2 linked regions of the Solanum lycopersicum genome follow. The protein of the gene in region 1 binds, or shares a complex with, the protein of each later gene. Links are inferred from orthologs where the notes say so. Each region holds a gene or a part of one and is shown on either strand. Other genes may lie near its edges.

The links.
Region 2: thioredoxin-like fold domain-containing protein MRL7, chloroplastic (region 1) and protein PLASTID TRANSCRIPTIONALLY ACTIVE 7 share a complex: the UniProt entries of both Arabidopsis thaliana proteins name them as parts of the transcriptionally active chromosome (TAC) complex. The link is inferred for Solanum lycopersicum from reciprocal best matches to the Arabidopsis thaliana genes MRL7 and PTAC7.

What each region holds. Positions count from the first base shown.
Region 1 is NC_090801.1:60,371,614-60,379,080, reverse strand, and holds the start of thioredoxin-like fold domain-containing protein MRL7, chloroplastic, read right to left. Parts: upstream 4,078-7,467; 5' UTR 3,868-4,077; exon of another isoform or gene 3,774-3,867; coding exon of another isoform or gene 3,740-3,773; exon of another isoform or gene 3,223-3,739; 5' UTR 3,200-3,222; coding exon 2,454-3,199; intron 2,350-2,453; coding exon 2,265-2,349; intron 2,182-2,264; coding exon 2,070-2,181; intron 1,956-2,069; coding exon 1,852-1,955; 3' UTR 1,843-1,851; intron 1,769-1,842; exon of another isoform or gene 1,759-1,768; 3' UTR 1-1,758. UniProt on the Arabidopsis thaliana protein: Plays an essential role in early steps of chloroplast development. Involved in the regulation of plastid gene expression. May positively regulate plastid-encoded RNA polymerase (PEP) activity through binding to FSD3 and CITRX/TRXZ.
Region 2 is NC_090802.1:49,584,623-49,592,192, forward strand, and holds the start of protein PLASTID TRANSCRIPTIONALLY ACTIVE 7, read right to left. Parts: upstream 4,784-7,570; 5' UTR 4,684-4,783; coding exon 4,630-4,683; intron 4,510-4,629; coding exon 4,456-4,509; intron 4,373-4,455; coding exon 4,298-4,372; intron 1-4,297. UniProt on the Arabidopsis thaliana protein: Essential for chloroplast development, especially for thylakoid formation. Involved in plastid gene expression, probably by maintaining plastid-encoded RNA polymerase (PEP) activity.

The DNA of each region.
Region 1 (7,467 bases):
TCCATTTTATCTTTTTCGATCCTTGATATAAGATGCTATTTTCATTCTCACTTAATAAATTATTAATACTTAGCATGCAATAATTTCCAACTATATAAAAGGGTATATACGCCTATTTTCGATAGCTGTGATAATCATAAAAGCAAACGACAAGAATAAATAAGTGAATGGATGTTGGAATTAAGAAAATTGAGAATGACATAGGTTGGTAAATGGGACCTCTTTTAAATTGTAAATTTTCCGTTATGACAAAATTAAAGCCTTCGTGACAACCTCTCATATTTGCCAAATGTCTGGATCGTTTTACAGTATATTCCTATCATCACAACTTAATAAATGTTACTTATAAAATTATTGATCAATTAAATGGTTTTATTTGTCCCACCATACAATAGGTTCTTCGGAAGGGCGTGGAACTTTTTCTAGATTGGTGTTCTAGCCAACTCCTTCGTTATACTTCATCTCTTTTAATTTAACAAGGTAAAATAATAATAATATACTCAGTAAATCTCACAAATGAGGTTTGAAGAGAATAAAACTTGTACAAATTTTATTACTATCACGTGGAGGTAAAAATGTTTTTAAAAGACCCTCGAATCAAGGGTAGCAAATTCAAGTACAAAGGATAAGAAAACATAACAACTAACAAGGGAAGCTGTGCAGATCCTACAAGATAAAATTTAAGAAAGTAAAGAAGCTTTTTAAATCTTGCGGTCTTAAATTACACATGTGAAGAATATACGAAAATAACTTTTAACCTTGTAGCCTTAAATATGCCATCGAAATTAAACATATGTTGAAATGGACTATGAAAGAAAGTAGAAAAAACAAAACAAATTAAAATTGAGAGAGTATCATCAAATATCTGTCACCTCCCACCACAATATCGTCAGACTTCACCCACCAAGAATTAAGTAGATAAACAAGATCACCGCATATTTAAGAGGTCAATTAGGTGAAAGTTTGTTAGTTGAGTCTATTCAGAGTTCAGGTTTTGTTAAACTGTATTATCTACAAATGGTCCTAGTTAGGTTTGATGTTGAGTGATTTAACATATGTTTAATCAGGGCATATTCCTGATAATGTGGTATCCAAAACTTTTCAAAGGAAAGCACTTTAGTGTCTGAATATAACCTAAAACAGATAAAAGCACACACAGTTAACCCATCCAATGGACATACAGTGTCTTGTTTATCTGATCTTAACTTTAATTTCTTATCTTAAGATGGAATAAAGCAAGGTATATACATTATCCATTCATATCTATCTAGGTTAGTATTAATGGAAAAAAGTTCCGTACCTAGCGTGACATACGTCTCCCCCGAAAACAATAACTCTAATTTAGTTATAGCCAGCAAGGTCAAGATACAAGTAACAGAAGATGCATGAACTTTTCTAATTAAATACAGAAAGTAATTTATAGACATCTAGGGCTAGTATGATATGTAAACAAGCAAATAGAACTAAAGTAAGATCATGCAACTGAGTGTTCTCTTTCCAACTATCCTCTTCTATATAGTAATAAATGTGGCACTAATTTAAGCACATTATAGGATATAACCTTTTTCTTCAACCTTCCACTTGCTAATTACATCAGCACCTGCAAGCATCAAGCGAGCAGTACCATGATCTCGTTTCAACCAGTCATTCTTCTAAGGTTCTGCCCTCAATTGGTCAATTGTTTTCCAGTGACAAAACGACCACAATTGGTTCCAGTTATACAGGGATAGATCCATGCTCCACTGCCTCTTTCTTAATCTGCGACGTGCTAGAAGTTCAAATATTTTTAGTGACATTAATCTATGAGCTTCAATGAAAGCCTAGACAAGTCAGCATCAGTACCTCCGTTGACTAAGACTGTTGAGATAAAGCTGCATCATCAATGCATGAAGGTTTTTTCGCATTGTAGTAAAAATATGCTATCATTTGAACCAAGTCATCAGCTGTACGAATTTCTGCACAAATTTATCCGGAGTTGCAAAGTAAACAATCATTCAACATAACAATGAATTTAGCTGAAAAGATTACAATTACTTTATCAAACTAGTGAGGGGATATATAAAGAGTACCTTTTTCCCTGTATAGTATCCTGTTTCCTCGTAAGAACAATATCTGTGGACTTTCTTTGACTTTAAGCGCATAGGCTAGATCCCTCTCAATATTAATGTCAATCTTCACAGTCTACACCAAGTAATTAGGGGAAATGTAAGATAAGAGGGTTTACTAATGCACAATGTAAGGAGAAGTGATTATGTTTCACAAACCCGAGGAGGCAAGCGCTCTTTGGCACTCCAATACACCTTGGCTGCTTTCTCCAGCTCCTTAAGAGCTTTCCAGTTGTCACTAGCCCTGTGCAATTAGCAATTGTCTCAGAGAACATAAAAGACTTGCATATTGCTTATAGAATATATCCTTTAGGACTTCAATTTGTAAACAAAACAAGATCCACTTGCCGATTGTATCTCTCAAAAACAAGTACAATGAGGGGACTGGGATGAAAAGCGAAGCTCTCCCACTCAAGACAATTGATTTCCTTCACCCAGCAATCATCAATCTCCCCCTCCCAATCGATCTCAACTCCATCTTCTCCTATAACATTTTTTATTGGATGCTTGTCAAAATACTCTGATGCTCTAATTCCCCATCCAACGTCTGCATCCAGAGGCCAATTTGGATCCTCCTCCTCAATGATCATTTTCTTTTCTTTCTTATCCCTACTGCTGTCATCTTCATCATCACTACTTTCATCAGACTCAGTGTCATCATCAACCCTATCTTTGAGGATATTCTCGGTATCTTTCATCATATCAGAGTTCTGCTCTCGGATAGAGGCAAATGTCTTTTCTAATGAATCACGAACAAAATCCTCAACTGCAGCTGCTTCGCTCCTGCGACCACGCCTTGGCTTTTTAGGGATTGTTGATGGGAAGATCTTGGCAGAATCTTTGTCTTCGTTATGAGTTACTTTACTTTCCCGGGACCTTATAGCTTTTCTAGACCTTGAACCAGAGTTATTCTTAGGATCAGACACATGTTCCTCTTCAGACTTTTTTGAAGTGGCAAAGCAAGTCAAACGTTTCAAAGGAGGCGGCAATAGGAAGTTAGAAAAAGAGCAAGAACTACAATGTTGCCCTGCTTTGAGTGCAGAGAGTGATGAAATAGCACAAAAGTTAAGATTTAATGCAGAATGGATGACCATCTTCCCTCGCTTAACTACTTCGCCTGGAAAATCAAAATCTCTATTAGGGATAACTCCTAATATAAAAAACCTGTCGATAACACCAATCAAAATTAAGAACAGATTTTATCAAACTCCTTTCTACAAAACACAAAATAGAAAACATCCACTCCATATTCTTATGTACATAACTAAAAGACAAACAGAAAAAGACTAGCATAACATTCAAAATGTAGTTAAACAAAGTCAACTGTAGAAGCCATAACATTGATGTTGAATTGTTGAGCACAGTACTACTAGCCCACTTTTACAAAAATGTATTGAACTAAGTCAGCATTGTCACCCACCGACACTAAATAGTAGTATAGATGGTGGTACTCCACATGGACTGGCTTAACATCCTAAGTCTGCTTCTGGCTACAGTTAAAAGGTTACCTATTTTGAAGCATAGAGGATAAAAGTCTAATGAGCAAATAATCAAACAGGTTGTGTGCATAAGTTACCAGACTGTCGATACAGTACAAGTGCAACCAACAGTGCATTAATTATGTTTATAACTTGATGATTACAACAATGGCAAACAGCAGAGCTAAAGGTTAGTGAATCATAGAATCAAAGTTTATAGCAATAATAAATAATCCGTTCGCAAGTACTTTGTTACCTTTCTTAAAAATACAACAAAGGACTACCTGAGAATGAAGAAGCTAAATCTCAAGTTCCGTTTGTCCAGTCCCTACTTGTTCTAATCCTATAAGAAATATTTCAACTTTATTTTGAAGGATGGGAGGGCAGAGCAAATGAATAAAAACAACAGCCAATATTTATTTTAAGTTGAAACTTCATAAAAAATATTAAATATTTTTAATGACATGAGGCGAAAATATTTCTAAACTTTATCCAAATGAATACCATAACCCAATATTGTCTCGTAAAACACCTACCTTTGCTCCAAACTTAGGTTTATTTTTTATTTTACTTGAGAGGGGAAAAAATTGTTTAGGGTGATTTCTAGCCTAGCTTTTATTGGTCTTTGGCCTAGAATATTTTTGGGATATTTAATGAAAGTTGAGTAATTAGTTTTATTATATAGCTAAGTTGGTATTTTGACAATTATATTTTAAAGGGAAAAGGGTCAAATATACCCCTAAACTATTAGAAAAGGTTTAGATATACCCTCCATTTAAAGTTTGGTTCACTGATACCTCTTTTGGTCCAAATATGTTCTTAAGTTTGGCCGCTAGGCTAATGGAGAGGGTTGAAAATTCTGGGGTGATAAAAATATCGTAGGTGATTTTTTTTATTTGTCCTTTGTTGGATAAAGCTATTAACGCAATACCTATATTTGGTAGAAAATAACGTCTCTGTGAAATTTAATTGAATTATAGTATGCAAACTAACTTGATAAGAAGAAAAGTTTAACATTGACAAATGAAGTGAAACATTACATATGAATATGATGAATCAGGAATAGTAGTACAGTATCACTTAAGGTGGACAGTATTATTTTGTTATTGATGAGCTTTATGTAACAATTGTTGAGCCACAAGTAACAAGTCAGGACTCAATCTAAACATCAAAATACAAAATTCAATCTTATCAAGAGCTCCATCACCATTCATATCTCCTTCTCTAATCATGTTCTTCAATTCTTCATCACTAAAATCTTGCAATCCCATCAGCTTAGAGTTCCTCTTTAAGCTATCAATTGTGATCACGCCTTTCTCACCATCCATTAACATCCGATAACCTTTGCATAGCTCGTTGATCAGTCCCTCTCCGCATAGCTTTATCGCCATAATTGGCAGAAAATCTTGAAACTCTATATGTACCATCTTTGTTTTACCTGTAGTTCAACTTCTATCACAAATATTGCTTGTTAATGACATAAATTAAAGTGTGATTCATAAGGAAGTTTTCTATGTCCCGTTTTCTAGACTAGTCAGACGAGCTTACGGACTTGTCTATTATTTTCTTAGAACTTGCCTTGCTTGTTGGAAATTTTGTTTTTGGACCAAGTCAGCCTTTTCATTCGTCAAAATGCCTTACAATGGATTTTCAAGGAAACTAATGATGCTCGGTTGGTGCTAAGGAATTCATCTTTCAATTTTATTTTATTTTCACTCAATTATGATAGCAAAGGTGAACCGTCACTTTGTTTATTAAATTCTTGTACTATTATTTTTTCTTCTCCGAAGATGATAAAAATCCTTTATGTTTGAAATTTGAATAGAATATGTGGTCAAACCACGGCTTTGCCCTTTTATGTTTGTATTAACAATATAATTATGATTAGTTTGTTAGTTATGTTAGTTAGAGTGTTAGTTGGATGTCACATCAAGTTAGTTAGATTTTTGAAAGTTAGTTAGTCACACATTTTGTATTTCATATCTTTTGTATTTGTTGGATATGTGATTACAATTCTCTTGTATATAAATGAGAATCAATACATGAAGATAGTAGTTTTGCATCTTCTACAATTCAACACATACGATGCCTCCTCCTCCTCCTTCTTCTTCTTCTTCTTCTTCCTAAATCGATTATTATGGTTCCTTTCTGTTTTGGTGTAAATCACCATTATTGATCAGTTTAATATGGTATCAGAGCAAGGCTGTTCTTGCTACTTTTGATTTGAATTTGTTGTTGATTCTTCTTGTTTAATTGTTTTTCCTGTGATCCAGTCGATCCTTCATCATGACAAGACCTGAAAGTGCTCCTTCAGCACAAGGAACCTCTGTTAATGATGATGCACACAACACTCTCTACATACACCCTTCGGATAGCCCTGGTATGGTGTTGGTACCAACTCAATTCGATGGAACAGGATATAGATCCTGGAGAAGGGGAGTTATGCGAGCTTTGTCAGTAAAGAACAAGTTTGGATTCATTGATGGTAGTTGTGTTAAACCAACTGCAAGCTCAAATCAGTTGCATCAATGGCAGAGATGCGATGACATGGTGACTTCCTGGATTTTAAACTCTCTTACTAAGGAAATTGCAGATAGTGTAGAGTATGTTAGTGATTCAGTGGAACTTTGGAAGGAACTTGAAGATAGATATGACCAAACAAATGGAGCAAAGCTGTATCAAATTCAAAAAGAGATTAATGATCTCACACAGGGAAATTTGGATATAACAGTCTACTACAACAGGATGAAAAAGCTTTGGGAAGAATTGAGCACTTTGAATGTAAAAAATCAGTGCTCTTGTGCTTGTAGTTGTGGAGCCAAAGATGGATTATACAAAGCAGAACAAGACAGACGCTTGATACAAATCTTAATGGGGATGAATGAGGTGTATACTGTGATAAGAGGCAACATTCTTATGATGAATCCTCTTCCAACAATGGCACAAGCCTTTTCCTAGATGATTCAAGAGGAGAAACAAAGGGAGTTTAAACCTGCTAATCAAACCCCTATGGAATCGATTTCCTTGAATGTGAACTCTTCTAACAATAGTGGAAAGGGATCAACAAGAAGAAACTACAAAACATCATTCTCTAGTGAAAACTGCTCTGGCAATACAAGTAACAACAATTATGGAGGATCCAACCATTTTTCAGCTAACAGTAACAATAGAAGTGCTATGGTTTGTAGTTATTGCAAAAAGACAGGACATGTCAGGGAGAGATGCTATAAGTTGATTGGATATCCTAGCCAGACTAATAGGAACAATGGACCTCATGCAAGGCAGAACAGTAATAATGAATATAGAGGAAGGAGAGTTGTAGCCAATGTTCATGGATCATCTGATAATGTGGCATCTGCACAAAGAGAAGAATGCATGCAGAATAATCAGAATCAAATGGTTACATTCACTAAAGATCAATATGATAACATGATGAAACTTTTGCAGAATTTTTGAGTTGAAGGAACTGATTTGAACAACTCAAACATGGAAGCTGGTTCTGTGAACTTTGCAGGTACTATAATATGTTCTTCATCTATTGATTTTGGCAATCCTTCATGTGAATGTTTTAAATCAAGTGCTGACCTATGGATCATTGATTCGGGAGCATCAAACCATATAACCTTTAACAAATCTTCTCTTACCAATGTTCAAACCATGTCTTACCCTATGCTTGTCTCTTTACCCAATGGATACAAAGTCAAGGTGATAGAATTTGGAGATGTAGTAATCACATCTGGAATTGTTTTACACAATGTGCTATATGTGCCTTCTTTTAAATACAATCTGGTGTCAGTTCACTCATTAACTCTTTCAATGAGAAGTGTTGTCCTGTTTACTAGTGTTTCTTATTTACTGCAGGCCCCTTCAGTGAAGAGGCCTCA
Region 2 (7,570 bases), on another chromosome or scaffold:
GTAGTGAATTCCAAGGCGCAATCAAAGACGGTATGCAACGCGATCCGGAAGCCAAGAAGATTATGGAGCTAGCTGCTCAAGGCCAAACCAAACGGTTTTGGGTAGAAGACGGATTCTTGCTTACCACTGGCCGGAGGATCTATGTACCAAAGTTCGGGTTCATCAGGCGGCGTATTATCAAAGAAAGCCACGACACTCCGTGGGCTGGGCATCCGGGACAGAAGAGAACGAGGGCGTTAGTGGAGGCCTTCTATTTCTGGCCACGTATGCGGGAAGAGATTGAGCAGTACGTGCAGACTTGTCTAGTGTGCCAGCAAGACAAGATAGAGCAAAGGCAACCAGGAGGGCTGTTGGAGCCGTTACCCATAGCTGATCGTCCATGGGAGAGCATATCTATGGACTTCATTACTTCTTTGCCGAAGTCAAACGGGTTTGGCACTATTATGGTCGTAGTGGATAGATTTTCCAAATATGCTACATTCATGCCTGCCACAGCCGGTTGTACTGCTAAGGAAGCTGCACAATTGTTCTTTAAGAATGTTGTGAAGTATTGGGGGCTGCCGAGGTTCATCATTAGTGATCGGGATCCTCGTTTCACAGGGAACTTTTGGAGTGAACTCTTTGAGATTCTTGGTTCAAAACTTCACTTTTCCACCAGTTTCCACCCCCAAACTGATGGCCAAACTGAACGTGTCAACGCCTTGTTGGAATGCTATTTAAGGCACTATGTTAGTGCACATCAGAAGGATTGGGCTAAGCTCCTAGACATGGCGCAATTTTCTTATAATTTGCAGAGGAGTGAATCTACAGGGCGCACACCGTTCGAGTTAGCAACGGGCCAGCAACCCCAAACTCCGCACTCATTGCCAACATTGTTCGAAGGGAAGAGTTTGGGCGCTTACAACCTTGCCAAGGGTTGGGAGGAGCAACTCGACCTTGCCAAATCTTATTTGAGCAAGGCGGCAAGGAGGATGAAGAAGTTCGCCGACCGCAAGCGTCGTCCCACCAACTATGAAGAAGGTGATATGGTTTTGGTAAAGTTTAATCCGAGGCAGTTTAAGGCGCTTAGAGGCATGCATCACAACCTGGTGCGGAAATATAAGGGTCCGTTCAAAATTGTTGCCAAGGTGGGTAAGATTTCATACAGATTGGAGTTACCTCCACACTTCAAAATCCACCCGGTCTTTCATGCCAGCGTCCTTAAGCCTTATCATGAGGACAAGGACGATCCCAGCCGGAACAAATCACAACGGGCCCCTATCACCGTTACTGCCTCGCATGATCGTGAGATTGAAGCTATCATAGATTACCAAGCCAAGCGGAAACGAGGACAACAGGCCAGTGCCATGTTTCTCGTACATTGGAAGGGACAAACTCCGGAGGAAGCCACATGGGAGAAGTACGAAGACTTGTGGCAGTTCAAAGGCAAAATTCAGGAGTTCTTGCAGCAGTGCGTCGCGGTCGTCGCATCATGGGGTGGGGGAGATTGTGACGTCCCGCCATCCATTCAGGCCGAACGCCACCCAACGAGGCAGCCAGCAGGCGCAGCAGGCGCAGGGGAGCAGGCTGACCACGCAGGTCAGCAGCCAAGGAGGCCTGCAGCAGCTGAAGAGGCAGCAGTTTCAGCTGTTACAACAGTTAGTGGGGCGGCTGTTACAGAAGTTACAAGTCTTTGAGAGGCTTGTGGAGATCATGGGGCAGACTAGGAGCATCTAGGAGTCCTTTTTGGAAGACTTGGAAGCTTGTCTTGTAGGCATAGTCTTAGGAACTTGTATAGTTTATTTACTAACTCTTAGGCAGCATTAGAGTAGTATAAATAGTAGATTACTTTACTTGTAAAGCATCCAATTATTTTCAAGTAATAGAAGTTCCTTCTTCCAAAGTTCTGTCTTACTTCTTATTTTCTTAGCGATCTGAGTTTTAGGCTTACTAGAGTTTGCAAGAACGTGCAAGAGTCGTGAGTAAACCGTCTAGTGCCGCACGGAACTTAGTCCGAATCAAAAAGTCCGTGACACTAAGCTAGCTGTTAACTTTTGGAGTTAGTTTCACGGATTAGTAATAGCTCAGTGTTATTACTACAAAGCTAAGATATAAGATATGTTACTCAGGTTTTCAAACATAAGAAAAAATCTATTTCTATTTCTGCCATAACTTTCTCTGAGCTATCCCCTTTTTTCATCAACTCAAATCCTCTATTCAAGAACTATAAAGATGTTTGATTAGGCAATAAAGTCAGCTTTTCACCATCAAAGCATGCCTTCAAGGTTAAATACACTCTATTCCTAGTCAGACCATAGAAGATCACCAAATATTAGTGGATCCACAAGAGATGATTCACTATATGAAGTGAGAAACAACAAGAGATGAAGGCTAATTTGTGGAGGAAAAGAAAACATAACAAACCCTAAAGTTGTGCAATAAAGCTTGATGGACAAAAAGAACATTTTAGCAAAGGCTGAAACAACTACAAGTTTGTCTCAAGAACCCAACCTTGACAAATATGGGTAAAAAAGTTTGGGGACGTTTGGTTCACATATTGGTTAGTAAGGATTATAATGCAAGAATCCTTTATGATGTGATCAATAATGAAAGAATTGTTATGCAGTGATTATTAGTAAAGAAAAGATTGTCACAAATGAGTTACTTAGTCTAAAAGGGCAATTTATCTTTAAATAGTTTAATCTCTACATTGCTACTACATGTGCTATTATTTTACATTCTATCAAGCATAAATAATATTAAAGTCATGCATAACTTAATTCAGGTATCATTTAGTACTGCCAACCAAATGTTGCATTTTATTTATGAAGCGATAATTTTTTGTGTATATGGTTGACCATACGCTATATTATCCTATGGACCAACGCAAGATTTTTACTGAGATCAATTGTTCCTATACCATCAGCAAAAGGACCCCTTAAAAATATCATTATTCTATGAACAACCAGGAAATAACAAATAAAACTGGAATGACATAAAGAAGATTAGCATGCCTATAGGCAAGGATGACATGCACAGATCAAGAAATAACAAATAAAATCTTAAACTATGAGGAATATGCTAGCTTTCACTCTTTACTTAGGGGCCTCATACGAAAACCTAATAGCAGGTAAAAACACGAGAAAGAACCATCTACCAAGGAATGACATGTACTTAAATTCAGATTACTGCTCAAAAATGATATACAGATGGTAAAACATTTTGCCTTTGCAGCAACCACAAAACCAGAATATCGGAGCATGGACATGATCAACTATTAAAAAGAACCCAGTCAGAACTGAGCCGCATACATACAAAGCCCCTATTGAATCAGAAGCCTTAATTATGACATCTCGAGCCACAGATACTCAGGATCTAGTGTTCAGCCTAAATCATTTGGACATACAACTAGTCAGGATAACAGTACACTCTCCAAACTTGGTATTATCTACTTGCAGGGTCCACCAAACAAGATCAACACACAAATGCAATAAGTGAAATCATCATTTCCCCTACCTTCAATTTCTAGTGGGTTAGGTTTTGCATTATCATCCAGAGAGAAGTGATGTACTGACAGAAAGCTTGAACCCCTGATGTGGGAGATCTGTTAGGTTTCAATATCTATCACTTTGCCTACAGTGGTTTGTAGTTAATAAAAACATAAAATCCAAGCAAAAAGGAAAGATGGCTAGCTTGATATGGCACATAAAATGGGTAAAAGGGTCTGATTCAGATCAAATGTGGATATCATCCCTCTTCTAAAGACGATACAATCAATCTCAAGTAACAATTCTAAGAATTCAAAAACTAATTAACCAAGAAATTCATCGTTCAAATCAAGGCATCCAAAATGACTTAAAGAAATATAAGTTCAAACTTGGAAACGAAAACAACAGCAAAGATGAAGAAAAGTATTATCAGCCTACAATAATATATCAAGCATAGTCTAATATGTCTACCACAAATATAGTTTTCACTTGAGTTACACCAAATATACCCACGGTGTAAAGAATATTTAAGCAAATCTACTCACTTAAAAGCCAACTATAAACAATTGTCTATGCCCATGATTCTATAGTAAGCCTGACTTGATGTAAGTAACCTGCCAAAATCAGTGAAACTGACAACAAAAATCGATTGTGCATATAGCTTAGATCCTTTCAACTATAGCCCATACAAGGCAAGCACAATACGTACGAAACATCCTACTCTTATATCTAATTCCGGTAAATTCAATGGTGCACATCGAAAAATAAACATTAAAACAAACAGAATGAAACGAGCAGGAAAAAGCACGAATCAGAGTTCCTTAACTTACCAATTTTCTTCGCCTCCATATTCGCCTTTCTCCACGGCCTTCATTTTTAGAATTCGACGCACTCTGTACACCAAACTAAAAACAAAAGTTACAAACACTTGTGCAAAAAAAAAAATCACAGCTGAAAATAGATAGCGACGGCTACGAAGAACTGTCACCTGCGCCCGAATACACAAGTTCACGCGTTTTTTATTTTCAAGTGCTGCAATTCTCTGCATTGAAGACAAATTATCATTCTCCGGATTCACAAATTAAGAACGGAGAGTCAAACTGGAAACCGGCGAAGATCCCGGCGAATATAAAACAGGATAAAAATAGAACGAGGAGCTTACGGGGAAAGTTTGTAGTGTTGAAAAGCTACTGAAAGTCAGGGTTGATGCTGCCATTGTTTTTCGCCCTTCGATTGTGTTCTTCTCCCTCTGATAAAAGGGGATAACGCAAATGATATCCTACTGTTTCTTTTTTCAAACTTTGCAAGTTAATTTATTGGCAGTTAGACCCTGATGTTTTTAAAAATGTTCCATTATGCCTTTGTTATTCATATTTGTTTCTTGATTTTCGTAATTTTAGAGCAGTTTCGCAAATATAACATCCTACAAGCCCTCTTTTTGCAATACTTCCTCCGTCTCAGTTATTAATTACTCCCTCTGTCCCAAAATGCGACATTATTTTCTTTTTTGGTCGGTCCATAAAAAAATATCATATTTTTTTACATGGTAAGTATTTACAGATACAAATTCTTTTTTATTCTTGTTGGTTTTACTTAATTTTAAATAGTACTACTCTAAAACGTTTGAGGAAAGAGAAAAGTGAGTCTACTTCGATTTGATAAACAATTCAAAGTTTTCATTAATTTCTTAAACTCCGTGCCGGGCCAAAAATGCCACATAAAATGGAACGAAGTGAGTATTAAAAAAATACACCTTATATTAAAAATATGTTTTTTAATATGAGAAAATTATATATAATAGCAAACTAATAACCTAAAATAAACGGAGTAGCTATGGTTTAATTTAATTGTACTCCATAGCAAACGTTTGCAAAAAATTGTCAGGCGCCTCTCTCCTAAGTATCTCGCTCGCCACTCTCCTAACAATCTCTCGCTCGCTTCCTCACTTTTTATACAAACACAAATGTATAAAAATTGTTTCTAATTGTATAAAGCAGAGAAAATTGTATAAATACATATATTTTTGTTTCCCTCTCTCCCCTCTTCCAGATCTCGCTCGCCACTCTCCCAAATTTCACTCGCCACCCTCGCCTTTCTCACTTATACAAACAGAAGCGAAATGTATAAATTGCATTTCTGTTTGTATAAAGTGTGAGAAAATTGTATATACACATGCAAGTACGTGTATTTTCGTCCTATACACTTATAATTATACAATAAAAATACTCCCCTGCCCAGTTTCTTTTGCCTTTCTCTCTTTCTCGTTTTATACAATTTTCAAATTGTATATAATTTCTCTCTTTCTCTTTTTATACAATTCGATTCAATTGTATATTCCTTGTCAAGTCTCTTTTGTCTTTCTCTCTTTCTCGTTTTATACAAATTCAAATTGTTTATGATCGTTCTATACACTTATAATAATGCAATTCGTTTTATACATTTCGTTTTTATACAGTTCTCTGCCCAAGTGTCTTTCTCTTTCTTGTTTTATACACTTCGTTTTATACAATTTGCTTCAACGGTATATGTATAACGAATTATACATTTTATATGTTTGCTATGGAACACAATTATGCAAACTTTGTTATAGCATACAAATATGAATTTTTTATTTGCTATATGTGAAAGTTGCTCTTTTAATCTTGCTCGATTTTTAATAAACTACTCTCTTCGTTTCAAAAAGGATAAACTTGTTTGACTTGACACGGAGTTTAAGAAAAAAAAAATTGAATCGTGTGATCCTAAATTAAAGTGTCCTTTAATTTTATGGTCTTAAACATGTCACGTGAAAAATAGAAATTAAAATGTAACTAAAAAAAGCAAGATTTTTTTTTAAAAATAGACTAAAAAAATGAAACCATTCTTTTTGAAACGGATAAAGTAATAAATAAGGGTAATTTGGTAAATACTATTTTTTTAATAAGCACAAAAACTAAAAAGAATCAAAACAACACTTATTTTGAGAAAGAAAAAAGTATACAATTATAATCGTACTTGTAGATGAGTTTAAAAAATAAAAGTCCAATATATATGTATATAAGAGGAACCATCATCTAAAATGTATATTGTATGTGTGTTAGGAGTGTATATCAAGTATTTAGTTACTCATCATAACTATAATTTACTATAATTATCACTCGTGATTAATATTGTACATTAATTACGTGAGTTGACTTTGAATTTGTATTAGTCACATTTGTATATGTATAATTCGCCAAAAAATACAAATAGATATGTATAATATACAATTATTTAATATATATGCATATACAATTCACCTCTCTCCCACTCTCTGCCCTCTCTCGCTCGCCTCTCTCCTCCTTCTCCCAATCTTGTTCGCCTCCCTCCTCCCTCTCCCAATCTCGCTTGCCATATATACAAATGCATATGTATAATACACAATTATCTAATCGATTTACATATACATGGTTCACCTTTCTCCCACTATTTTCCCCCTCTCTCTCCCAGTCTTCCTCACCTCTCTCTTTCCTATAGCATGTAGCTACAAATTGTAATTATCAAATTATAGCTATAAAAAGTAATAAGACTATTTTTAAATGGCTATATGTGAAAATTTTCTATTTTTTAACGCATCAATTGGTCATCTTTTTTTTTTCTTGATCAAATGAGTGTTTGATGTACAAGTACAGTAACTATGTTATTATCAATTTTTAACATCATAAATTGGTCAATATTTGTTTTTCTTGGTCAAATAAGTAATTTTAGATTCTAGAAATCCTCTGAATTTTACAAAATACATGTACATATGAATTTCCCTCTAGAATATTTCAATTCACCATTTTGGTCTTTCAACGTTCATTTATCGTAGTTTGTATATATCATTCACCATGAAAAATAAAAAATGCTTAACAATTATGAATTTCCCTGCAGAATATTCCAATTCACCATTTTGGTCTTTCAATGTGCATTTACCGTAGTTTGTATATATCATTCATCATGAAAAATCTATATATATATATATATATATATATATATATATATATATATATATATATATATATATATATATATATATATCACTAAGATATGTTTATATAATTTCATGTTGTACCTAAAAAGTTAAAAGAATGAATTGTATAAAC